6 linked regions of the Oryctolagus cuniculus genome follow. The protein of the gene in region 2 interacts with the protein of the main gene of each other region in a pairwise test. Links are inferred from orthologs where the notes say so. Each region holds a gene or a part of one and is shown on either strand. Other genes may lie near its edges. The genes, in order: ERLIN1, SEC22A, STX4, SFTPC, DTX2 and TMEM79.

Region 1 (4,013 bases), on a different chromosome or scaffold from region 2:
AATATTGATACACAAAATTCTGAGCAAAAACAACAAAAAATTAGCATGGAAAGATGTGGGGTGAAAGGATTAAGTTTATAAATAGGTATTGGGGGCCGGCACTGTGGTGGAGCAGGTAAATCTGCTGCCTGCAGAGCCAGCATCCCATATGGGTGCCAGTTCGAGTCCTGGCTGCTCCACTTCTGATCCAGCTCTCTGCTATGGCCTGGGAAAGCAGTGGAGGATGGCCCAAGTGCTTGGGCCCTGCACCTGCATGGGAAACCCAGCGGAAGCTCCTGGCTCCTGGCTTCAGCCATTGAGGCCATCTGGGGAGTGAACCAGCAGATGGAAGACTGTCTGTCTCTTTCTCTCTCTCTGCCTCTCTGTAACTGCTTTTCAAATAAATAAATCTTTAAAAAAAAAATCTAGAACCCCTTGCTATACTTAAAAAAAATAATGAATAGGTATGGATTTGTTCATCAAATTCTGCAATAAAGGAACTATGAAAGCATATACTGGCAATTATAAAAAGGAGACATCTGGGGAGCAAATAAAGAAGTCCTATGTTACATAACGAACAGAACTCAGCTACCTGTATGGTAAACATAAATGAGCTTGCAAAGAAGTCCAAAACTTATGATGAGCTATTTGAGACCAAACACTAATTCATACCTTGAAATGTTCTTTCCTTGGTTTTAATGTCTGAAAAACAATGCTAAAGTGGAAGGAAATCTGAATTCATCCGTCACGTCTTACATTGGAGTGCTCCCTGCTAAAACATACCACTAAATCTGCACTTTTTCTATGACTCAGGAGGGAGCTAAATGTAGAAATAACATTTTTAGGGGAGATGATGCAAACAATCAAAAAGTTGAAGCTCTTTTTGAATACACCACTATTCCAATTTCTCAACCAACCGTCCTCCCTCTTCACAGTCAGTAACAGAAGGATCTGGTGTCAACTATGTTGAAAGAAAAAAAAAAACAGTACACCAACTCAACTAAAGAGCAAGTAGCATATCCCACTCCGTTCCTCTCTTCCAGTTGAAAGGATGAAGTAAGTGGCTCATCTGTGTCTCACTTCTGTCCTCTGAGGTCCAGGAATTAACCAACGCCATGGTCATTATGGTCTTTTAAGACATAACCAGGGGCTGGCCGGCGCCGTGGCTCAATAGGCTAATCCTCCACCTTGCGGCGCCGGCACACCGGGTTCTAGTCCCGGTTGGGGCGCCGGATTCTGTCCCGGTCGCCCCTCTTCCAGGCCAGCTCTCTGCTATGGCCAGGGAGTGCAGTGGAGGATGGCCCAGGTGCTTGGGCCCTGCACCCCATGGGAGACCAGGAAAAGCACCTGGCTCCTGGCTCCTGCCAGGATCAGCGCGGTGCGCCGGCTGCAGCGGCGGCCATTGGAGGGTGAACCAACGGCAAAAGGAAGACCTTTCTCTCTGTCTCTCTCTCTCACTGTCCACTCTGCCTGTCAAAAAAAAAAAAAAAAAAAAAAAAAAAAGACATAACCAGGGGCTGGTGCTGTGGCATAGTGGGTAAAGCCGCCGCCTGGCATGCCAGTATCCCATATGGACGCCGGTTCGAGTCCTGACTGCTCTACTTCCGATCCCGCTCTCTGCTGTGGCCTGGGACAGCAGAAGATGGCCCAAGACCTTTGGCCTCTGCACCCTCATGGGAGACCCGGAAGAAGCTCCTGGCTTCAGATCGGCACAGCTCCAACCATAGTGGCCATAGTGGCCAACTGGAGTGAACCAGCGGATGGAAGACCTCTCTCTCTCTGCCTCTGCCTCTGTAATTGCCTTCAAATGAATAGATAAATCTTAAAAAAAAAAAAAAAGACATAACCAGATGAAACGAATCTTAGGAAACAACCATACGCAGGACCACGTTTTCTAAAAGCACGTATGGCAGCAAACTAAAAGCCCGCACAGTTCTATGCACTATAAACGATTTAGTCACTTCTTCAGTTACTTGTAGAGTGACTACTTCTTTCCTTTTTCATCTTTCTACAAATCATCGAGTTCACTGTGTACCAGGAATACCCACAAGGAGTCTTAATCTCTGCACAAAACGAACACAGAAGTAAAACGGACCGACACTTGTAGAGTGCTCCCCAAAGCCTGCATTATCCCCTCCTCACACCATGCTTTCCCGACCGCTGGGCCGAAAAGTACGTCCAGGACTGGGCAGTGCTCGCCCGGACGCGGCTGGGGACGTGCCCCGTCCACCCGTCTAGAACCCGAGCTGACTGCACGCGCCGCTCACCTGTAGTAGACAGCCAGGTGTCCCTCCTCGATCTTGTGGATGGAGGCGTAGAGGAGGACAGCCACCAGCCCCACCACCGCAGCCACCAGCACCCGGGCTTGAGTCATATTCATCCTTGTCGCTCCTAGGCGAGCGAGGCAACGACCCTCAGCCCCATGAGTGACAGGCCCACTCCCCCCTCCCTCCTCCGGGGAGCCGGCGCCCCCTCACAGGCTGCGCGGGCGAGTGCGGCGCCCTTTTCCCCGCATTTCTCCTTCCTCTCACAGCCCGCTTTCCCCTCGCCAGCCCCTCCGCCCGAGGTGGCCCGCGGGCCGCTCCTGCTCGGTGAGCGTCGCGACGCCCCCTCCCCACCGCCGCTCAGTCTGTAGAAGGCGCCGAGAACGCGCCCAGCCCTAGGCTCCGGAAGGGGAGACCCCCTCGGCCGCGCCTCACCGATCAGTGACGCATCGCCCCCACCCGCACGTGCAGCCGCCTCCCGGGCCGCGCCAACCGCCGCCAACAGCCGGCCCCGCCCACTCTCCCTGCACTGCGCCTGCGCTAAAACGCACAGGCACGCAGTGCCCCGCCTGCGACTAGGAACGGGAAGCGAGGGGGCCAAAATACTCCAGCCACCCTTGCACTCCAGTTAGGAGGTGGGACGCTTCCTCCTGTGTGCACTGCTGGTGAGCTGGTGAGGAAAAGCGGTACTCTGGGGGAAGCGGGGATAGGAAAGGCCTGTCCGACAAGAAACCAGTCGGTTTGCTTTTGTGCAGAGAACCCGCTGCCCCACTCTCAATGCGGTAGCTGTTCCTTTTGTGTCTTTTTTTTTTTTTTTTGGACGTATTCCGAACCCTACTGTGCAGCAACACGTGCTCCTGGCGCGGACCGTGCACTTCTGGGGCAACCAGACTTGTTCGCTGTAAAAGGACGAGGAAACTGTTCGGTCTACCTGCATCACTCATTCAAGTTTTTTCCTTGGTTTTTGTCGGTGTGAGAGAGAGAGAGAATAGTTGTGCACGAATGCTGACCAGTTAGGGCTTTAGCGTGGCCGTCCCGGCGACAAGAAGAGTGGGCGAGCGCAGTGAGGGGCGCGGCGCTCCTCTTGGAAGCCCAAAGGGAGCCAACCATAAGCACTTGAGTTGTCTGAAAGCCTGTGGGATGGAAAGCAGTGGTTTGGTGGGCTAGGATAGGACCGGATTATTTTTAAAGTCGGGAATGCACTTTTTTCCCCCTGCTGATGTGGGCACTGGATGTCTAGGGGGCAGGAAGAACTTTCGCTGCATATTCTGTTGTTTTCAAGTTTTGCACCATGTACATATATTACCCAAAATGAAAAAGGGCAAAGGAAAAGGGTCGAGTCTGGCATGAGATAGATTAATACAAGGAAAGTAAGCCCCGCATGTTAGTGTAGGTTGGTCAGAAATGGCTTATGCTTTCGAAGGCTAGTGGTGGGAGGCCACAATTGGACAGGGCTGAGTAAGGTTGGAGGGGCTTCTAATCTGGAGCAGACATGGGAACACAGTGCTTTAGGAATCTGCAAAATGGCTGTGAAGATAGACTGAAGGCAGGGAAGCCAAATAGTTAAGAAACTGCAGGCCTGAGCTTATACCGGCAGTAGCAGTGAAATGAAAGATAATCAAAATTCAGTTCCTCATTAAAGCAGTCGTTCCCAGATCACTTTACCCACTTCCTTTAATAAATTCACTTATCTGTATCATTCATCTGATTTTTATTTCATAGGAATGTCAGGGCTCCTGTTCCAAACTTATCTATAATAACTTCCAAATT
Region 2 (4,101 bases):
CCTACCTTAACAATTTGCTTTCCTGTATAGTACACTATGTGATTACTCTAAAATGTATTAATCCTATAAATATTATTATACATGTATCTATATATTCACCAAAATACATGTGTAATAGTATTTATAGGATTAATAGATTTATAGGATTGATACATGTATTTTGGTGAACATATAAATAGATATTGTTGAATATGTCTAGTGGAAGTTGCTGGGTTAACTCACTCCAACAACCATGAAATTTACATAGTTAGGTCAGATCTTCTGAACTATAGACTTACCTATCAAAAAACTCCATCTATAGCGTCTGAAATTTAACATATGCAGCAACGAATGGCTTCTTCATCCGTTTGGTTACTTAAGGAGTCATCCTGACTGCTTGGTGCTTCCCGGCAAACCAATCTGTAAGTTCTTTATTTTCCGCCTTTGATTTATACATATCTTGAAATTATCCATCTCGCTGTCTCTACTGCCGTTACCCCAGTTCAAGCCACTGTCATCGCTGGCCTTCACAACTGCCTCCAAACTGGCCTTCTAGCACCCCTTGTCCTCTTCCAATCTGTTCTCCACAAACAGCCTCAGTGAGCTTTTAAATATGTAAATCAGATCCCACAGAACAGTCTTCACTAGCTGCCTTTTGACCCCAGGATGCCTTCCAGTCGCAGTCTGAAATCTATCAAGTGGCCAGCAAGAGCCAGCGCGGTCTGCCCTGGCCTCATCTCTGCCCAGCTGTCCTTGCTCTTTGCACTCCTCCACACCGACTTCTTGTCAGTTCCCAGAACACTCCAAGTTCCTTCATGCCCCGAGAGCCTAGCCATCACGTTTCCCTTGACCTGGAACATTCTTTGAGGCCCGTTAACAGGCCTGGGAGTTTAAAAGGCACTTATTCAGAGGCCTTTTCCATGACTGTCCAAAATAACCCATCACAGCACCCACCACTTTCCCTTTTATAGTACTGATCACATGTAATAATTATGACAACGATTTATGCTAATGTAGCTTAATCTTATAATGGTACTTTAAATCCCATCCAGCGTTAGGTTCACTCCTGTAACCGGATGCCTAACACAATGCTGTGCGCGGTAAACACTCGGGAAATGCTTGGTTAACAATGTGTGACCATGACAAGACTTGAAGAGGCCAAGCCACGGGGCCAGCACCTGGCACTGCCCTTCTTGTGTGTGGCGGCAGACAGAGGCTGGTTCCTCCCTCCCTCCCTCCCTCCCTTCCCCAGAGGGGGCTTTTCCCCCTGCCCCTTGGATAACAGTTTGCTGTGGGACCGCCTGCGAGAGACAATCCGGCAGCAGGCGGGAGCGATTAGCCTAATTTCTCGGGGACAACAGAGCTCTGTCCCCAGAGGACGACGGGCTCCCCCGGCGCAGGTGCGTGGGAAACTGCCAGTCTGTCCTGGAGGAGGCGGGTCAGTGAGTTCTTCCCACAGAACCCGATTGGCCGGGGCGGGCCGAGGGAACGGGGCGGGGCTTGATTCCGCAGGCGCCGGCCACGTTGGACGCGAGGCAGCCCCGCTGAAAGGCCACTCCTGGGCCCCACAATGCACTGCGTGGCGCGTCACTCGGAGCGGCGGGTCGCGGCTCGGCAGGTACGGCCCGGCCCCTCTCAGTCTGTTTCTTCCCTGCGCGGGGTCGCTCGCTCCCCTCTTTGGCCGATCGCACCTTTGGCTCTCCCGCCTCGGCCCTCTTCGTCGGGACCACATGCCTACGCCTGGGCAGGAACCATGCCCGGGGCGTGGGGTGGAGTCGGGTGGTGGTGGTGCGGCCGCGGAGCCCTGGAGCGGCCGGCGTTTGGGGCCATGGACCCCTTGGATCGAGTGGTCTGCGGGGCCGCGCGGGCGGCGGTTGTCCCCCGGCCGACCTGCTTCGGGAGCGGGGAGATGCGGGTGGGGATAGGAGGAGAAGAGAGAGTCCTGGGCTGCCCGCGGGCGGCGGCGGGGATTCCCTGGCGCCCAGATGTCATAAACACGGTGGTCCGGCACTTAGGCCGTTTGGGGCAGGCGAGAGAACTGGAGGTGGCATTAACTATTTGTTTTAGGCAGGATGACTTACTTTGCGTTTTGTGGGGATTGGGTGAATATTGAGCCCGGAGCTTTGTCTGCGCTGGCACACAGGAAGCTTGAGGCCCTGTTGATAGCCCTTGGGGAATGGCGAGGCAGAAAGGAGACCCGGACAATTGGCTCCACAAGTCGGGGAGATCGAAGGAGACGGCCGATCCCCAGCTGGCTGGAGTCTCTTGCCAGGGAAAGCCCCTTTAGACTTGTGCCGCTGTAATTTTTGGGTCATCCACCTGGGGCAGATGCAAGGCTTCAGACTGGAGATACTGGGGTCGCAGCTGACAGGTGGCTCCGCACCACATTCCATGTTACTGCTACTTGCGTGTTAAGACTGTAAGGAAGTAGGCAGTCCCTGTAGCAGTGCCTACAAATCCCAGTGTATTCAGCTGCACTGCTTGAATCGGAAACCTGTGAGCATGCCCTGTGTTAATGGGACACCTGCGCGTTTCCTACTTTGAGAGCTATCACACCCATTTAGTATGTGACTGATTAAAATCTAAATGTCTTATGAAAGAAAAACGGGTTCTCTCAGGGGCGCCAGTGGCCTTCCTCTGCGTGTATTTGAGTAAGAGTTTGCATATTTGGGGAGGTACTGTCTCATAGAATTCTTAGAGTTAGGCCTGGGTTAAATCCCTGCCTTCTCACTTACTTGTTTAGGAATTGAATAAGTTGCTTAAACTTTGTGGCTTTTAATTTCCTGAAAAGCAAAATGGAATTCATATCTACCTCACAGGTTATTGGAAGGCTTAAATGAGGTAATGTGTATGGTATATACACATTATATAATGTGTGTTGCCATAGTGATGATCAATAAAAAGAATAACAGATACTTAGTAGAGCACTTTGAGTGTGTTTCCATAAGTGTTTCAGGATCTTTACATAATCCTATGTGGTAGATGCTACTGGTTTCTTGAAACCAACCCTAGGAGGTAGATAATATTAGTTGCCACACTTCACAGATGAGGAGATTGAGGTATGCAAGGTCAGAGCTGCCCTCGGTTACATGGCTGGCACATGGTGGAGCCAAGATTTAACCCAGGCAGTCTGGCTCCTGAATCCGACCTTTTAACTCTCATACTATACCGCCTCTTACAGTGTAAACTGTTACTATTCAAAATGAGTGACCAGATAGTTTCTGTGTCACAGGTTCCTGCCCCTGATTGGTTTTGGGAGACTGATACGGCACAGTGACATAGAAATATAAGACACTTGGGTTTAAGTACCGGCTCTGCCACATACTTGTATGGTGCTAGCAGTGTGACACTGAGAAAATGAGCCTCAGTCTCCTCATTTGTAAAGTGGAGGTTATACCTACCTGCCTTGAACTGTGGCTCTAGACAGATGTTGGAGATGGACGTGTCTGAACCCGTGTTGGCCGCCCTGTTCCTAGGGGTGGGCGTGATCTGTTTTGGAGCCCGAGGGCTTGTGCATGCTCTGCACTGCAAGCACCCCTGCTAGGAATTAGACTTCTCGTGAGGCTGGGGGCACAGGCAAAGCAAAATGAGCACTGGCTGTGCTTGGTACCTGTTTCTCTTCCTGTCTCAGTCTACCCACATGTCCCTAAACTAACTCCTCCCCTTTCCCACAGACCTCAGCACCTTTAATAAAATAATGCGTTCCAAATTCCTGTTTCTCACATTTTGGTTCTGAAACATACGTATGATAACCTGATCAGCCGGTGAACATCTAAAAAATTAATAATTCTCCAGAAACTTTCTCATGTGTTTCTAAAACAAAAAAGTTCTTCATGTTGTGTTTTTTTTTTTTTGTTAAAAGATTTATTTATTTATTAGAAAGGCAGAGTTACAGAGAGTCAGAGGAAGAGAGAGAGAGGTCTTCCATCTGATGGTTCACTCCCCAAATGGCCGCAACAGCCAGAGTAGCACTGATCAGAAGCCAGGAGCCAGGAGCTTCTTCAGGTCTCCCAAGCAGGTGCAGGAGCTCAAGGACTTGTGCCATCCTCCACTGCTTTCCCAGACCATAGCAGAGAGCTGGATTGGAAGAGGAGGAGCCGGGTCTCGAACCGGCACCCATAT
Region 3 (3,324 bases), on a different chromosome or scaffold from region 2:
CAGCCAATTAGAGTGAACCAGCGGATGGAAAACTCTCTCTGCCTCTCCTCTCTCTGTGTAACTCTGCCTTTCAAATAAATAAATAAATCTTAAAAAAAAAAAAAAAAAACACAACAACAACAAGGAAACCAGGGCTCAGGTGCCTCTGCCTCTACCTGCGCCTCCAGGTGCGCTAACCCGGGCTCACCGGCTCTGTTAGCTGAACTCTTCCATAAACAGCAGTGATTTCTTCTGATCACGAGACCTGGGGCTGGGGCCTCTGCCTGCCAGCCCCTTCCCTTCCTTCTTGAAATACCTGGCTCCTCCTCATGGCTTCAGGGCTAGGTGCTCAGCGGTCCTTCCCCAGGGAAAAAGCAGGAGTACCTCGCTGTGGGCACGGCACCTAGGGCAGCCTGACCTGGGCCTGTCTGGGCCTGGCCTGGCCCCAGGGGTGGCCAGCAGGTGGGGAGAGGCTGGGCCAGCTCGCCAGCAACAAGGGTCTCCAATCCAAGCTCGCTCGCTCGTTTTTCTCTCTTTTTAATTTTTTACAAAACCATGTGTCCCAGTCAAACAGGACAAGGCAGACCCTCCCTCGCCCAGGCACTGTAGCTCGAAGGGGAGGGGGGGCCCCACGGACGAGCAGCTGCTGACCCAAGAAGAACCGCCTGCCACCGCTGTACAGGGGCCCGAGGGCGCCGGGTGGAGTGGGGGTCCTCACTGGGGGCTCTGTGCTGCAGGGAGACAAGGCCAGGACCTGGGTCCCTGGAGCTTCCGGTGCCTGCAAGGGAAGGAGGGGGAGGAGGGTCTGAGGGGAGGAGGGAAGGCTGGGGAGGGGGCGGGGCGGGGGAGGGGCCAGGAGGTCTCACCGAAAATGTACAACTCTAGCCCACCGCTATGGTCACGCCGATGATGACGGCCAGGATGAGGACCGTGACGGACACACAGATGGCAATGAGGACTTTCTTCTGTGGGAGACAAGAGGGTCAGGGACGACCGAGTGGGGCGCCTGCGCCCGGGGCGGGGCGGGGGGCTCACCTTCCTCGCTTTCTTCTGGTTCTCCAGGGCGATCTTGACGTGCTCCTGCCCGCGTTCCACGTAGTCCGCGGAGCTCAGGATGTTCTTCTCGATCCGGTTGATCATCTCCCCCTGCTCGCGGGATGAGGTGGCTCAGAGAGGGAGCGATGCCTGGGCACAGCGGGGCTGGGGACGGGGAGGCCAGCTGCGCCTTTGCCCATGCCACCCGGCAATGACTGACGCATCTCCCAGGCCCACGGAAACAAAACAAAAACTGCCCCCAACAGAGGCAGCTCCAGAAGTGACCCAGGCTCAGAATCTTGGGATGGTTCCGGGATCCCTTCTATCACGTGGTCCTATCTCCCCGCTTCCCTTGCCCCCATAAGGTGACATCCAAACGCCTGCAGAAGGCAAATTAAGAGCTTGTTTTCGGGGATCCAGTGCTGTGGCGCAGCGGGTCAACGCCCTGGCCTGAAGCTCTGGCATGCCATATGGGCACCGGTTCCAAGTCCCGGCTGCTCCGCTTCCAATCCAGCTCTCTGCTGTGGCCTGGGAAAGCAGAAGAGGCTCAAGTGCTTGGGCCCCTGCACCTGCGTGGGAGACCTGGAAGAAGCTCCTGGCTCCTGGCTCCGGATCAGCTCTGCTCCAGCCGTTGCGGCCATTTGGGGAGTGAACCAGCATATGGAAGACCTCTCTCTCTCTCTCTCCCTCTCTCTGTCTTTGCCTCGCAAATAAATAAATAAATCTCTCTTTTTTTTTTTTAAAGAAAATAAGAGTTTATTTTGGTGCCCCAAATTTGGAATCCAAGCACAGATTTCTCCTAACGTGCATTGGCCAGTCACTTTTTGAAGATCCCTCCTATACATGATTTCAAGATTTTTTTTTTGCACCCCAGAGAAACTTTCTCAATTCCATTTTCCATGCCTTCTTGCAAGCACCCCCCGTATGTGCAGGGGCGGCTTGTGGCCGTGTGCTCCACGGGTTCATACCTTTTTCTTCAGATGGTGAACTCTGGCCCCTGAATTCAGCCATTCTTCCAGGCCTGTCTCCCGGCTGCTGTGCAGCCGCCCCTCCCCCAGCTCCTCCTGGCACCACCAGCCTGCAGGTCCTGCTGCTCCTCCTGAATGAGATGCCCTCCCCTGCCTCCCAGCGGCAGAAGTGGCACTGGCTACAGCACCACAGACGCCGGCTCCCCTAGGAGCTGCAGTAGCGCAGCAAAGCCAGGGCTGGGTACAAAGCCTTGGGGACAGCGGCTGAGAGGCGGAGGGGGGCTGGCGGTCACGGCCGGCCAGGGCTTCCGCCTGAGCAGCGTCTCCCATCCCGGGGAAGCTGCGTGGGCTCACCTGCATTTCCACCTCGGTAGCCAGGAAAGTGAAGATGTCATGGAGCTCACGGATGCTGCGTTCGAGCTGCTGGATCTCACTGTGCCGGGCGGAGATCTCATTGAGGGCCTGCCGGGTCACCTGGGTGTCCTTTAGGATCTGAGGGAGAGTGGGTATGAGCGGACAGGTCACGGCAGCGCGGGGTGGGACACCAGCGGCAGGCCAGAGGGGGTTTCTCTGGGGCAGCCCCTTCATCAGGGACGAGGGTGATGGCCACTCACATTGGACACAAACACTTCGCTCTGCCCGCTGTCCAGCATCTGCTCCAGTTCCTCGTCGGACACCGCCCCAGCATTGGCTGTGAAGGGAGAGGCCAGGCTCAGAGCTGGGGCAGGGGGTGACCTGACCCTGTGGACTGGGCGTCTGCAACTCACTGATCTTGAGTTGCCTCCGAATCCGCTCCACGTTCTTCTCCCGGTATTCGGACTGCATCGAGTTGCACTTGTTGATGAGTTCCACGAATTGCTGCGACAGCACCCCATGCTGAGGGTGGAGAGAGCACAGGCTGGGCACCCCGGGAAGGACCCCCGCCCCACCTGGGCCTGGGCATCCCACTGCGCACACGACAGGAGCTTCTCCAAGCTGCCTGCGGCATCGGCCACCTTGGGATGACCTTGAAGGCGTCCCCATTTGTCCGAGGAAAAGGCAAGACCACTACGAGAGCCCAGGTGGCCTTAGGTGATCTGTCCCTGTCCCTGTCCCCTTTCGGACTTCCCCCTCTTCTGCTGAGCCCTCCCTCCTGTACAACACTCACCGCTCCCACCCTTAAGGTGCTACCTTGCCTCCCGCAACCCTCTCCATCCCTCTCCCGCGCCTGGCTCTTTTCTCCTTAACGCTTCCTCCGTCCTCACGCCCTTTGCTTATTCCCAGGTTCACTGCTCTATCTGAACAGCTCAGGGCTGGCGCACAGTCATCACTGAAGGCAGACCAGCCAAATGCCAGCCAGCGC
Region 4 (4,147 bases), on a different chromosome or scaffold from region 2:
GGAGTGAGCCTGGCTGGGTCCCCAGCGCCTGGTCCGCCGCAGGTGGCCGGTGGCCCAAGCCCTCCTCCACCTGCTCACCTGAGTCCTAGATGTAGATGAGAGGCACCTCCCCACACAGGGTGCTCACGGCCGCGCCCAGGAAGGCCAGCTCTCCTCCGGAGGACGCCGGGCCTGCGGCTGGCCCCTTGTCCTGGCCCCGCTGAGTGGGAGGCTCTGCAGGGTTGGCCTGGGAAGAATACCAACTTGGAGTCTGGGGACCCAGAGCCTGTCACACCTGGAGCCCTTATTGGTGGGACCTTAGGCAGGGCTGCGTGGGCTCAGCTGAGGCCATGCACTTGGAGGAGGGGGAACAGGTAGGGGAGGCAGGTGCAGGTGAGGATGGAGAGGTGGGCACTCACTTGGGCATGCCTTACAGGTGACAAGTACCTTCATCATCTCAAGTGTGGCCTGGGAGGCAGACAGCCCCCACCCCTCACCCACACACCCACCTGGAATTTTCTAGCCAGAGCCTCCAGACTGGGGATGCTGTCTGGAGCCATCTTCATGAGGTAGCAGCAGGTTCCCGGGGCTGGCTTATAGGCGATCAGGAGCTGGGTGTGACATGCTACAGGTCAGTCGAGAGGCCCCCTGCCTCGCTCACTGCCTACCCCTGCGCTCACCCAGCCCCTGGGTTGGACACAGGAGTCCTGTTGGAATCTGGGTTTCAGGCCTTCCCTCTACCCCCCACCCAGGGAGAGGGGGGAGAGGCGGATGTGATGAAGCGGCACAGCCTGTGGCCCTAGGGGTGCAGGCAGCCTACCCGCTGGTAGTCGCAGGTGACAATGCCGGTGGAGCCGATGGGGAAAGTGGCCGTGGTGCCCGCCCACTCGCTCAGTGCCAGGCGCTGCTGGACCTCCGGCGCCCCGATGCTCATCTCTAGGACCTGGGGGAGATGTTCCTGGCACTCCTGTCCCCCACTCCAGTGCCCATGGCCCCCTCCCCTCTCTTTACCCAGATGCAGTTTCTTTCTCTGCAGAGAGAGCTCAGGGGCCCGAGTGGAAGCCCAGGCCAGGTTGGCCCGCCCCCATCTCCGCCCCTCTCCCTCCACACTGCACCCTGGCATTCCCCTGGCCCAGCCCACCCAGCTCCGGGGCGGCTTGCCCCCACCCTCACCCACCCGCTGCTCACCCCAGCCCCGCGCCTGCTCACCATCTCGGTGTGTTTCTGGCTCATGTGGAGCCCCATGAGCAGGGCCCCCACAATCACCACGACCACGAGGACCACCACGACGACCACGATGAGAAGACGTTTGAGGTGCACTGGGCAGCAGGGGATGCCGAAGCGGCCCCGGGGAGCTGCTGAGTAGTCCTGCCGGCAGGGGGCAGCAGTGAGACCCGTGCCAGCTGGACACCTCGGCCACACGCACACTCAGAAGGTTGGACCACCAAAGCCACACAGACGCACACACACACACTCAGAGGGATAGACAGCCAAAGCCACACACACGTGCTCACACAGACACACTCAGAGCCAACACCACACGTGCACACACCCACTCACACACATGCACCCAGAGGGATGGACAGCCAAAGCCACACACACGTGCTCACACAGACACACTCAGAGCCAACACCACACGTGCACACACCCACTCACACACATGCACCCAGAGGGATGGACAGCCAACGCCACACACACGTGCTCACACAGACACACTCAGAGCCAACACCACACGTGCACACACCCACTCACACACATGCACCCAGAGGGATGGACAGCCAACGCCAATGCCACCCATGTGCAGGGGAGGGCTGTGACGACCAGAGGAGGCTCCCTGGAAGAAGTGACCTGGATTCTAGCAAACCCAAGGCCTCGTGTGCAGGGACCCAGGGTGGCCTGTTTGGCCAGGGCTCGTCTCCTGCTATTTCTCCGAATTCCCTGGCACCCAGCCATAGCCAGACCCTGTGTTCCACAGATGGCCCAGGCTCGCCTACACTGCCGTGCCTTCATCCACACTCCCCCACCTTCCTGCAAAGCCCTCCTGCTCTACCTGGACAGCTCCTCTGTATTTTCTGGCTCTACCTGCCTTCTCTCTGGAAGCTTCGTGCAACCCCCTGAGTACTCAGTGGCTCCTCCCTCCACTACCCTCTCCATTTTTTTAATAAAAGAGACCTTAGATTTGTGTTTAATGCTTTATTTATTTGTTTGAAAGGCAGAATTTCAGATTGATAGATAGATAGAGATCTCCCATCCATTGGTTCATTCCCCAGTGGCCCTGGGCTGATCCAGGCCAAAGCCAGAAGCCTGGAACTCCATCCAGATCTCTCACATGGGTGGCAGGGACACAAGTACTCGGGCCATCCTCCACTGCTCTCCCAGGCACATTAGCAGGGAGCTGGATCAGAAGCGGAACAGCCGAGACTTGAACCTGCGCCCATATGGGATGGTGGTGTTGCAGGTGATGCCTCAGCCTGCTGTGCCACGACGCTGGCCTCCCGGCCCACTCCACTGACCAGTCCCTGTGATGGCCGTCACCTCCTTATACTGGAATTATTGTCTCCCCCAGGGACTCTGTCTCAGTGGCCTTAAGAGTCCCCATCTTAACTAGGAGGGTGGAGGAGGCAGGGTCCCACACACACCTGCACACACGCGCGCTCCCATGCACTCACCGGTGGGCTCTCCATCAAGGCCTCTTTGCTGCCCATGTCCATCTTGCCACAGGTGCCCGCCTCTCCTCGCCTCCTGGGTATGACCAGGGCTTTATATGTGCTCGTGCGGAGAGAGGGCAGAGGTGAAGGACCGGGCCCCCTGTCTGCCAGCCAAGTCCTTGACTTTGAAGCCTGTTTGTTCCTGGCCCTCCAGAGCCAAGGCCCTGATAAGCCAGCTACAAGTGCCCCCAAGGGCCCTTGGCCCTGGCACGTGAGCTCCCTCTTCCCGCACGGCAGCGAGCCTGGGTGTGCCGAGCAAACTTGCCCCTCGGCCATCGGCAGCGCTCACCATGGGTGTCTCCTGGCCGGCCTGCCTGTCTTGCTGGCACCTGCCCTCGCAACCCTTGTTCTGCTGCCAGGCGGAACCACTCAGGCGGCCAAGGGTCTGACCGCCCGCCACACCTGCCAGCAGAATTTCTAGGGGTGAGTTCGGGGTAGGGGGCGGAGGAGCCAACATCAGCAGACCCTGAAAGGATTTAGGGTGGGGGCGCAGGAGGGCTCCTGGGTGTGCACTTCTCTGGGAGGGCCGGATTCCCGCTCTATGCATTCCGCCTCACACGTGGCCTGCCTGACCTCAGGCTAGCCCCCAGTCATTCTTTTCTGTTTGGAAACTCTGTGCCCGCCAGTGGAAAACTCTTACTCATGTGCACTGCTCCACTCTTTGCTAGATGGCAGACGCGGCTCCCTCAGCCCCGACGGCCTTGCACAGGGCTGGGTGTGGTTACTGGCCGCCTCCCAGTCTCCCTGTTCTTAGCTGTGCCTGCTTGCTCCACACTGCCGATCATCGCCAACATCCGGCTGCACTCTGCATTTCATATTCTCTGGTACCAAGGGCATTCCAGAGGGCTACTCACCCCACTCTGTCCCCTTTCTGACCTCGTCACCACCACCCCAAACCCAGCCGCCATTCTCCCTCTCCTACGTCCTTCCCCAAAGCCGTGGCCGTGGCTCACTCTCAGATCGGCCGCTGGCTTCGCGGGGGATGGTACCTTTCCGCCTGGGCTCCCCTTCCCTCTGGGAGCCAAGTGAGCTGGGAAGCCCCTTCACCTTGGAGCTGCCATGAGGGTGTCAACTCAGAGCCCAGCACCTCCCTCTCCCGGCCTCCTCTCCTTGAGCGTATCACTCCTAGCCCTGTCCCCTGCCTCACTCACACCACGACCCTGCCTTCAGGCCACCAGCTGGACCCTCCCCACTCTCCAGCCCTGGCACAAGGACCCTCTCTCCTCTCCAGGTTGCACAACAGCACGACCTCTGCTCTGAGGGCCCCTGAGCAGCCCCAGGAGGAGAGAGGAAAGGAAGTGTTTGCTCTCACCGCCTTCCTCACTCCCAAACGCCCCTTTAAATATTTGCCAAAGCCTCCGGCAGCCACAGAGGATCCCCCGATGGGTGAGAGGACAGAGGAGGAGGAGGGGGCACAGGGAGCAGGAAGAGACCAACATCCTCCTCTCGGCTCAGCCTCA
Region 5 (3,500 bases), on a different chromosome or scaffold from region 2:
TGGTTAACCAAGACCAAACCCAGGGCAGGAATCTGGTGTGGCTATTATTAAAGAACGCCGTTGGGGTGTCTACATCCCGTATCAGAACCAGAAATTTCACAACCAGAAATGTCTCCAGACATCCGCGGGTCAAAATCACTCCAACTGAGAACCAGTGGATAGGAGGAGAGGGGCAGCTCTGTGGCTGGTTCAAGTCCAGGCTACCCTACTTCCAACCCGGCTTCCTACTGATGTGCTCGGGAGGTAGCAGAAGATGGCCCAAGCACTTAGGTCACTGCCACCCACATGGAGAGCTGGATGGAGCTCCTGGCTCCCGGCTCCGGCCTGGCCCAGTCCTGGCTGTTGCTGCCAGCTGGGAAGTAACTCAGAGGATGGAAGACCTGTTTCTTGATGTCTCTTTCTCTGTTACCCTGCCTTTCAAATAAGAAAATCTTTTTTAAAAAAGATTAAAAATCAGAAAGGAGTGGATGTCATGGTGCAGCAGGTTAAGATGCCATGGGGGGTGCTGGCGCTGTGGAATAGCAGGTAAAGCTGCCGCCTGCAGTGCTGGCATCCCAGATAGGCGCTGGTTCGAATCCCAACTGCTCCACTTACGATCCAGCTCTCTGCTATGGCCTGGGAAAGCAGTGGAAGATGGCCCAAGTGCTTGGGCCCCTGCACCCACATGGGAGACCCGGAAGAAGCTCCTGGCTTCGGATCAGCACAGCTCCAGCCATTATGGCCAGCTGGGGCGTGAACCAGCAGATGGAAGACCTCTCTCTGTGTGTAACTCTGACTTTCAGATAAATAAATCTTAAAAAAAAAAAAAAAAAAAAAGATGCCACATGGGACCCACATCCCACACTGAAGTGCCTGCTTCCAGTGTCGTGCACTCTACGTAGCCAGCTTCCTAGTAATGCGCGTGACGAGAGGCCACAAGTGGTAGCCCAAGTGCCCAGGCCCCTGCTGCCCACGCGGCAGGAAGGCTGCCCGCTCCTGGTTTCTGCACGGCCCAGGCCCAGTTGTTGCTAGGAAGTGAATAGGTGGATGAAGATCTACCTTTCCCCTCTGCCGCTTGCCTTTAAAAGAGCCCCCAGTGACTGCAGGGCGAGGCAGGCGCTCCTGGTTTGGGAGACAACGGGAGGAGGGCTGGGAGCTCCCCTACTGCCTGAGGCCCATCTCAGCGGGCTGGGCAGCCGCTCCCACTCAGAGCACCCAGCTCCCTGCCACGTCCATCTCATGGCAAGGACAACGCAGTGCCTGGGTAACACACAACACCTCGCACGCGGGGCACCTGGGCCAGAGCACGTGCTCAGATGTGCAGCGGGGCAGAGGTGTCTTACCAGTGTCCTGGCGGAACTGGGTCCAGTTGGGAAGGTCGATGATGTAAGGGGCCAGCGAGGGGTCGGCCTGGCCCAGGGGGATGCTGTGGGCCAGGCTTCCCAGCCCAAAGCGTTGGCCCTTCTGCTGGACAAACTGCTGCTCGATGTAGCTGCAGACAGCGGCGCTGTAGGGGTGCCAGGAGCCCAGCCCGTCCTGCCATTCCCACACAGCCACTGCCACGGGGCTGGCGTACACTTGGGCCAGGGAAGGGCCTGGGGCCATGGCCATCTTCCCTCGGACTCCTCTGCTTGCCCAAACGGCTTCAGAGCGCTCTGGGATGGAATCTCGGGTTCATGGCCCAGCGCCTGGAGCAGACCTGGAAACCAGAGAGAAGAGCAGTTACCAATGCCCACCACGAGCTCTGCCCGAGTCGGGCTGGGGGCAGTCAGCCCATTCCGCAGCGGCTCTCCCCAGTACCTCGAGGGCACCAGGAACGGAGCACCTGCTCCTGCAGCTCTGCCCTGGCAGTCAGGAAGAATCCAGTCAGTCCCTCCTCCCAGCTCCGCACGTGCTCAGACGCGGCAGAGTGCGTGCCCCGCTAAGACTGAGGCCAGCTCCTCTCTCGCTACCACTGCCCTCCCTCTGACCCGATCACTCAGTCTATCCTCTTGAGCCGGACCTATTTCTCAGTCAACCCAAATCCTTGTGCGGTACAGCCACGATCACCCCTCATCCCTGTGTACCGAGCTGACGGTTTCCAACCCAGGTTTATCTGAGCAATGTGGATTAACACTCACTATGCTGCAGATAAAGAAACACTGGGTCTCACACAGGACCAGGGGGCTGTGGCAAAGCTGGCACTTGAAGCATGTTTCTCGTAGGTGGGGACGAAGACAGATTCTGGCTCCTCTGTGTCGCTGGCCACCCTGGAAGCATCCCCGAGCAGAAGGAAGCCCCAGGCAGACAGGAAAACTCCCACCCCGCCTCGGCCTCCCCACCCAGGCCTTACCGACTGGCTGTCTGCCATCTGCAGGGCCCCCTGGCCCCGAGACCTTTTCCTCGAGGCGCTCCACCCGCCTCCCCTGCAAATCCTGTGCACTCCTTGGGCCCAACCTGTGTCACTCAGAAAGCTTTCCCGGCCACCCACCCACATCCCTCTGCTGTGCCTCTGCTGCTGTCCCCTTCGGCTGCACTGCAGCAAGGCCACCTCCCCTGCACGGGCCCTGGCACTGAGACGCCGCACACTCCCTGTACACCTTCAAGCTCTCTAAGCTGGCTTCCTCCTCCTTGGAAAGCGGAGACACCAGCATTTACCCAAGTGCTCTTCACGGGACTGAGAGAGAGAGGTATGCATACAAAGCACCGGCACCCAGCAGCTGCTCCCGCTCGCTTCCACCCCTTTCCCCCAGTGCCCTCCCACCCACGTCTGGGGTAGGCTGACTGCGAGGGCAGCACTGAAGCCGCGGCACACATCCGAGAACACAGGCCGCGTCAGGCCCAGGAACACAGCTGTGCTGCCAGGCCTGTACTGAGCCGCCAAGGCCTCTGCTGAGAGCCCAGATCCTGCCGGGGAGGACTGGCCCCGGGCGCCCTCGGGCAGGCTGGCTGAGCTCACGGCCTGCAATCAGTCTGCCACCGCATCAAGGCACAAATCAGGAGGGTGGCAGAGCCGCCTGCTCCCGAGGAGGCCGGGGCCTCCGTATCATCGCCCACGGGCTGTGCCCCGGCATGTCCACACATCCCCAGGTGAGTCAACACACACAACTCCGCACACCCACAACGCCAGCTCAAGCTTTACGAGAAGGTGTGCAGCCCCCTCAGATGGGGGAACCTGCCACGTTCAGGCCTCTCCACAACAGGTCCCGTCCCCACTCACACCAAGCCCTCTAAACTCAGGACCTCAGGCCACCCCATGGGAATCCAGCAAGTTCTAGAACACTCTGAGCCCTCTCGCACCTCCCAGTCCCATGCTCCCCCCGTACAAGTCCCCGTCCTCGCAGCCGCCTGTGTCTCCACTCACCCAGCAGCACTGCCCTTGTGGGTTTCAGTCTGTTCCCCTGCTGGAGCAGGAACTGCCAAAGGCTGGCTCCAAGACAGAGCCGAGGTTTTCAACTGCCCAATATCCCAGGGGGTCTGAAACCCCAAAAGACAAAGGAAGGAGAAGCTTCTGTTGCAGGGGCACGGGGCCCAGAAACGCC
Region 6 (3,946 bases), on a different chromosome or scaffold from region 2:
AAATGGAAAGAGCGCATCTGGGTTCAGAAATTCACATGAAAATACTCCCCGAGGATTTCAGGCAACTGCAAACTGAGTGAGAGGAGAATAATTCCGCTGTGAGAGCTAAGGTGGCCTCGTCTGTATGAAGAGGACCCTTGGCCAGGGAAGCGTCTCCTGCCCAGAGGGAGGGGCCTGGACAATGAAGGGACCGTGATCACTTAGCAAAGTAGAGATGGCGGGTGGGGAGCAGAGTGTTAGAGTGGGGAGAACTGAGAAGTGTTTGTCCTGGGGATCAGAGTCAGGATAGAAATTTCTAACACATTATAAAAAAAAAAAGTTCTAACAATTAGGGATTTCAAAAACCAAAACATATCGCTTTATAAAGAATGGAGCACTTATCACAGCGGGCATTCAGCTAGAAGCCAAAAAAACTGCATGACCAGAGTACTACAGAGGAGTGGCTGTAATGGGCCCGCTGATTTCTGTGACACTTAAAAGCCTTCCAGTTCCATGCTGGCATGTCGCATCTCTGAAATCAGCTTCCTACCTCCCGGCAGACACAGGAGCTGCCCACCTGCCCCCAGGTGAGTCCGGTGCAGGAGAGTAAGTGAACTCATCTCTCCAGGGCACACGCGGGCCACTCCAGAACCCAGAAAAGCCGCTCTCCAGATATTCGGGTGCCTGGATCTGGCACATCACCCTCCTTCCCCCACCCCACTTACCGAGAGACGGCGAAGAGGCCAGTGAGCAGAGGGAGCAGCTTGAGGGTGTCCTGGGGCAGGTAGGTGGAGAGCACGGCCAGGTTGAAGAAGTACAGGATGAAGAGCTGGACCGACTGGGCCACGTATCTCCGGTGGATCTCCACCTCCCGCCGGGGCTCTCCAAAGGGCCGTAGGGCAGAAAAGCACAACAGGCTCAGCCCGTACACCAGGAGCCCTGGGTGGGGTCAGGAAACACACGGGGTCAAAACAGGCAGGAGGCAGGCACACAGAGTGGGGGTGGGGGAGGCCCTGGCAGGACCAGGCTGAACGAGGGGCGCTCACCTGCTCCCCAAGCCCCAGCAGGCCCTGCCCTTCTGAAGTCCACTCTCCAGGTGTCCCCTTTCTTGTCACAGGGGCCCCAGACTCACCCAGCACGATGGGGAAGGTGGCAAAGACCCCGCAGCGCAGCGTGTAGACCAGGCGGGAGCTCAGGGTGGGCAGCCGTGGGGCGTCGAAGGGCAGGAAGGCGTAGGCTCCGTACAGCAGGCACGGGAAGAGGACGAGGGCGGCTCCCACCGAGGCCACAGCCCTCAGCCCCTCACGGCCTCCGCAGCTTCCGCAGCTCCCGCAGGAGCGGCTGGGGGGCCTCACCACGGCCTCGGCCCACTTGCACTCGGGGGGCTCAATGTGGGGGAGCCGGGGGGGCAGGAAGGACCGACGCTCGCCCTCGCCCGCCTCGCAGCGCACGATGAGGTCCTCCTGGGGCCGCCGCTCGATGCACTGCAGGTCGATGGGCACGAAGGCCCGGGCAGCCTTGGCAGGCAGCAGGTTGGCATCATCCTCAGGCAGCCCCTCAGGCCTGACGGGCAGCTCGGGCTCGAGCGGCTCTGACTCTACGTCCCTCCAGCCGGGAGGGTCTGGGAAGGGCGCAGTGGGCTGGGGGTCGGTGCCCCAGGGCAAGGTGGCGGCCTCGCTCACTGTGCTGTCCAGGCCATCCTCGGTGGCCTCTCTGGCTGAGGCAGAGCCAGCTGAAGACTCCACTTGGAGGGACCCGCCTTCAGGGGACTCGGCCCCGCCTCCCCCTTCTGGCTGCCGGCCATTGGGAACCAGGTCCTGGGGTGGGCTCTTCTCCGGGGCCTCAGGCCTCTTCACTTCCAGCAGGGCCAGGGTCTCAGGCTCTGTCATGCTGGGGCTTCAGTTCTGGGGTCCAGCCTAAGGTCCCGTCATCCTGGAGGGAGGAGGGCAAAAGCTCTCTCAGGCCCCTAGGACGGGGCCACAGAACTGGAACTTCCGGGGCTCCTCTGGCCCCGTCTGGGACCTCGGGGAGAACATGGTTCAGAGGTTGGTGTTGAAACCGAGGGAGGTGGGAGGGAGCTGAAGTGGAGGCACGCTTTCAACATCTTCAGATGCATCCGGGCACGCGAGGGTGAGTCGGGGCACAGGCTCCAGCAGCTCTGGCCTCGGTCAGCCCCCACCCATGCCTCCTACCCACTTCCACCAAAACCCCCGGAGTCCCGGATACCATAATTCAGGAATGGGAAGCAGAGAAGGTGTCTAGAATTTTGCCAACAGCTTCTTTCTCCCCGGAGATCTTCCTGTGGACAACACCACAGCCCCTCCCCCAGCCCATCTGCCCTTCTCCCTGCAGACCCTGCTGGGGACTCCCCCGGCAAGTAGGAGTCACTGTCGACCCATCTGTCCCAAGGAGCTGGCAGTTGCCAGCACCAGTTCTTGCGTCTCCGATCTGAACGTGTGGCCAGCCTCCAATCTTCTCACCATCCCACCTCATGCCGGCAGCCCCCGGGTCTGTCCGTTCTTTGGGGTTGAATCATGGCTGATTCCCACGCCTTCCCTCCTGCCTACCACCCCTCACTGCCACCCTCTATCTCACTGCTTCTGGACGGGGCCGACTCCCCTTCCTTCCCTCCCCAAGGGCCCTCCCCTCGCCACGCCATTTGGAGCCATGACACCCCCTTACTTTCTGTCGGGAGAGAGGTGGAGGGTCCCCAGCGTCCAGTCCAGGAAGCAACTGCCCAGCTCCGTGCTGGCTCTGCAAGTATTTCTCTGTCTCCCTCCCTTTACCTGTGTCTCCAAACCTGTCTGACCAGAGCAGGTGGGGCCCAGATTAAAGGGGCAGGCCCCGCCCTGCTGAATGTGCCGACAGAAAAAGCTTTAGAGGAGGACGTTGTCCTTTCCAAGCGTGGCGGGGGTGCAGCCACGCATAGAGGTGAGTTTGTGTTCCAGGCACCCGGGATGTGTGAGGCGCCCTGGTCAGGAAAGCAGAGGAAGAAGAGTAGCTTTGTGCACCAAACGGTGCTTGGAGTGGATTGGGTAAAGCCAGAAAAGAGTTGGATTGTGTACATTTACTCACTCAAAGAATATTTATTGAGTACCTGTTATTAGCTAGGCTCTGTACGAGGTACAGACAGACACAGGAAGACAAGTGACGTCAAGAGCTCTGCCCTTCTTTAAGGGTAACAGGTGATAGGGAAGCCTGCTTTCTTAGCAGAAGAAACTTCTGTGATAAGATGACACTGGAGCTGAGAATCAGGAGCTGGAGAATCAGGATGACGAGTGTTCCAAGCGGAACAGCAAGTGGGAAGGACTTGGCTGTGTCAGGGACAGAAGGAAGGCTGGTGGCTGGAGCCCGGAGCACCGTGACAGAGAGGGCAGTTCACGTTCCCATCGCACGGTGTGCACAGGCACCAGAACGCCTTTCTTTTCAGATTAGGTTTCAAGTTAAGAGAACATAGTCCCAGTGTCATCGGTGCTCTTTCCAGTGTGAGCAGACGGAACCCAAGCCCCTGGGCGGTGCCCCTGGTGCAGATGCTGCACGCCGTCAGCATCATCAGAGCCTGCCTACCGTGGTCTTCCAGGCTCCTTTCCTAACTGCCCTTATTACAAATCAAGTTCACTGAATTGGTGCAGCAATTCAGGGTCCGGGATCAAAAGACTCATGGGGTCATTTATGGCCTCTGCAGATAACATCTTGGTGTTCAGTCTTGAGAGTTTTCCTAGGAACCCTGGCTCCAAGCAAGAAGTAACTACCACCTGAGTGACTGGAATTCCCAAGAGAAGGTGGCATCGCTAACCAATCAAAGGAGAGCCACGAGCACTGAGGACCGACCAGGGACTTGCACACAAGCCCAACATGCACCTCTTTAACCCCAACTTCAGTCTTGCAGAACCTTTACCCTCAGCCCCCGAGGAGTCTGGGAATGAAGTGGTAGCTGCCCTGCTCCTTAATCTGCACTTTACACCAA

What was found.
Region 1: the proteins of SEC22A (region 2) and ERLIN1 interact in binary tests that used the Homo sapiens proteins (3 or more experiments, as listed by UniProt). The two-hybrid records come from large-scale screens. The link is inferred for Oryctolagus cuniculus from reciprocal best matches to the Homo sapiens genes SEC22A and ERLIN1.
Region 3: the proteins of SEC22A (region 2) and STX4 interact in binary tests that used the Homo sapiens proteins (3 or more experiments, as listed by UniProt). The two-hybrid records come from large-scale screens. The link is inferred for Oryctolagus cuniculus from reciprocal best matches to the Homo sapiens genes SEC22A and STX4.
Region 4: the proteins of SEC22A (region 2) and SFTPC interact in binary tests that used the Homo sapiens proteins (3 or more experiments, as listed by UniProt). The two-hybrid records come from large-scale screens. The link is inferred for Oryctolagus cuniculus from reciprocal best matches to the Homo sapiens genes SEC22A and SFTPC.
Region 5: the proteins of SEC22A (region 2) and DTX2 interact in binary tests that used the Homo sapiens proteins (3 or more experiments, as listed by UniProt). The two-hybrid records come from large-scale screens. The link is inferred for Oryctolagus cuniculus from reciprocal best matches to the Homo sapiens genes SEC22A and DTX2.
Region 6: the proteins of SEC22A (region 2) and TMEM79 interact in binary tests that used the Homo sapiens proteins (3 or more experiments, as listed by UniProt). The two-hybrid records come from large-scale screens. The link is inferred for Oryctolagus cuniculus from reciprocal best matches to the Homo sapiens genes SEC22A and TMEM79.

Annotation. Positions count from the first base shown.
Region 1 is NC_091446.1:29,928,956-29,932,968, reverse strand, and holds the start of ERLIN1 (erlin-1), read right to left. Parts: upstream 2,801-4,013; 5' UTR 2,679-2,800; intron 2,371-2,678; 5' UTR 2,360-2,370; coding exon 2,247-2,359; intron 1-2,246. UniProt on the Homo sapiens protein: Component of the ERLIN1/ERLIN2 complex which mediates the endoplasmic reticulum-associated degradation (ERAD) of inositol 1,4,5-trisphosphate receptors (IP3Rs).
Region 2 is NC_091435.1:79,369,840-79,373,940, forward strand, and holds the start of SEC22A (vesicle-trafficking protein SEC22a), read left to right. Parts: upstream 1-1,301; 5' UTR 1,302-1,379; intron 1,380-1,445; exon of another isoform or gene 1,446-1,597; intron 1,598-4,101. UniProt on the Homo sapiens protein: May be involved in vesicle transport between the ER and the Golgi complex.
Region 3 is NC_091450.1:6,128,866-6,132,189, forward strand, and holds the end of STX4 (syntaxin-4), read right to left. Parts: intron 2,859-3,324; coding exon 2,750-2,858; intron 2,674-2,749; coding exon 2,597-2,673; intron 2,475-2,596; coding exon 2,337-2,474; intron 1,126-2,336; coding exon 1,015-1,125; intron 945-1,014; coding exon 861-944; 3' UTR 846-860; intron 758-845; 3' UTR 501-757; downstream 1-500. UniProt on the Homo sapiens protein: Plasma membrane t-SNARE that mediates docking of transport vesicles. Necessary for the translocation of SLC2A4 from intracellular vesicles to the plasma membrane.
Region 4 is NC_091439.1:1,147,297-1,151,443, forward strand, and holds the start of SFTPC (surfactant protein C), read right to left. Parts: upstream 2,801-4,147; 5' UTR 2,691-2,800; coding exon 2,649-2,690; intron 1,348-2,648; coding exon 1,189-1,347; intron 923-1,188; coding exon 800-922; intron 591-799; coding exon 489-590; intron 227-488; coding exon 86-226; 3' UTR 79-85; intron 1-78. UniProt on the Homo sapiens protein: Pulmonary surfactant associated proteins promote alveolar stability by lowering the surface tension at the air-liquid interface in the peripheral air spaces.
Region 5 is NC_091450.1:44,152,187-44,155,686, forward strand, and holds part of DTX2 (probable E3 ubiquitin-protein ligase DTX2), read right to left. Parts: intron 1,679-3,500; 5' UTR 1,591-1,678; coding exon 1,323-1,590; intron 1-1,322. UniProt on the Homo sapiens protein: Regulator of Notch signaling, a signaling pathway involved in cell-cell communications that regulates a broad spectrum of cell-fate determinations.
Region 6 is NC_091438.1:42,426,566-42,430,511, forward strand, and holds the start of TMEM79 (transmembrane protein 79), read right to left. Parts: upstream 2,801-3,946; 5' UTR 2,662-2,800; intron 1,912-2,661; 5' UTR 1,869-1,911; coding exon 1,112-1,868; intron 919-1,111; coding exon 705-918; intron 1-704.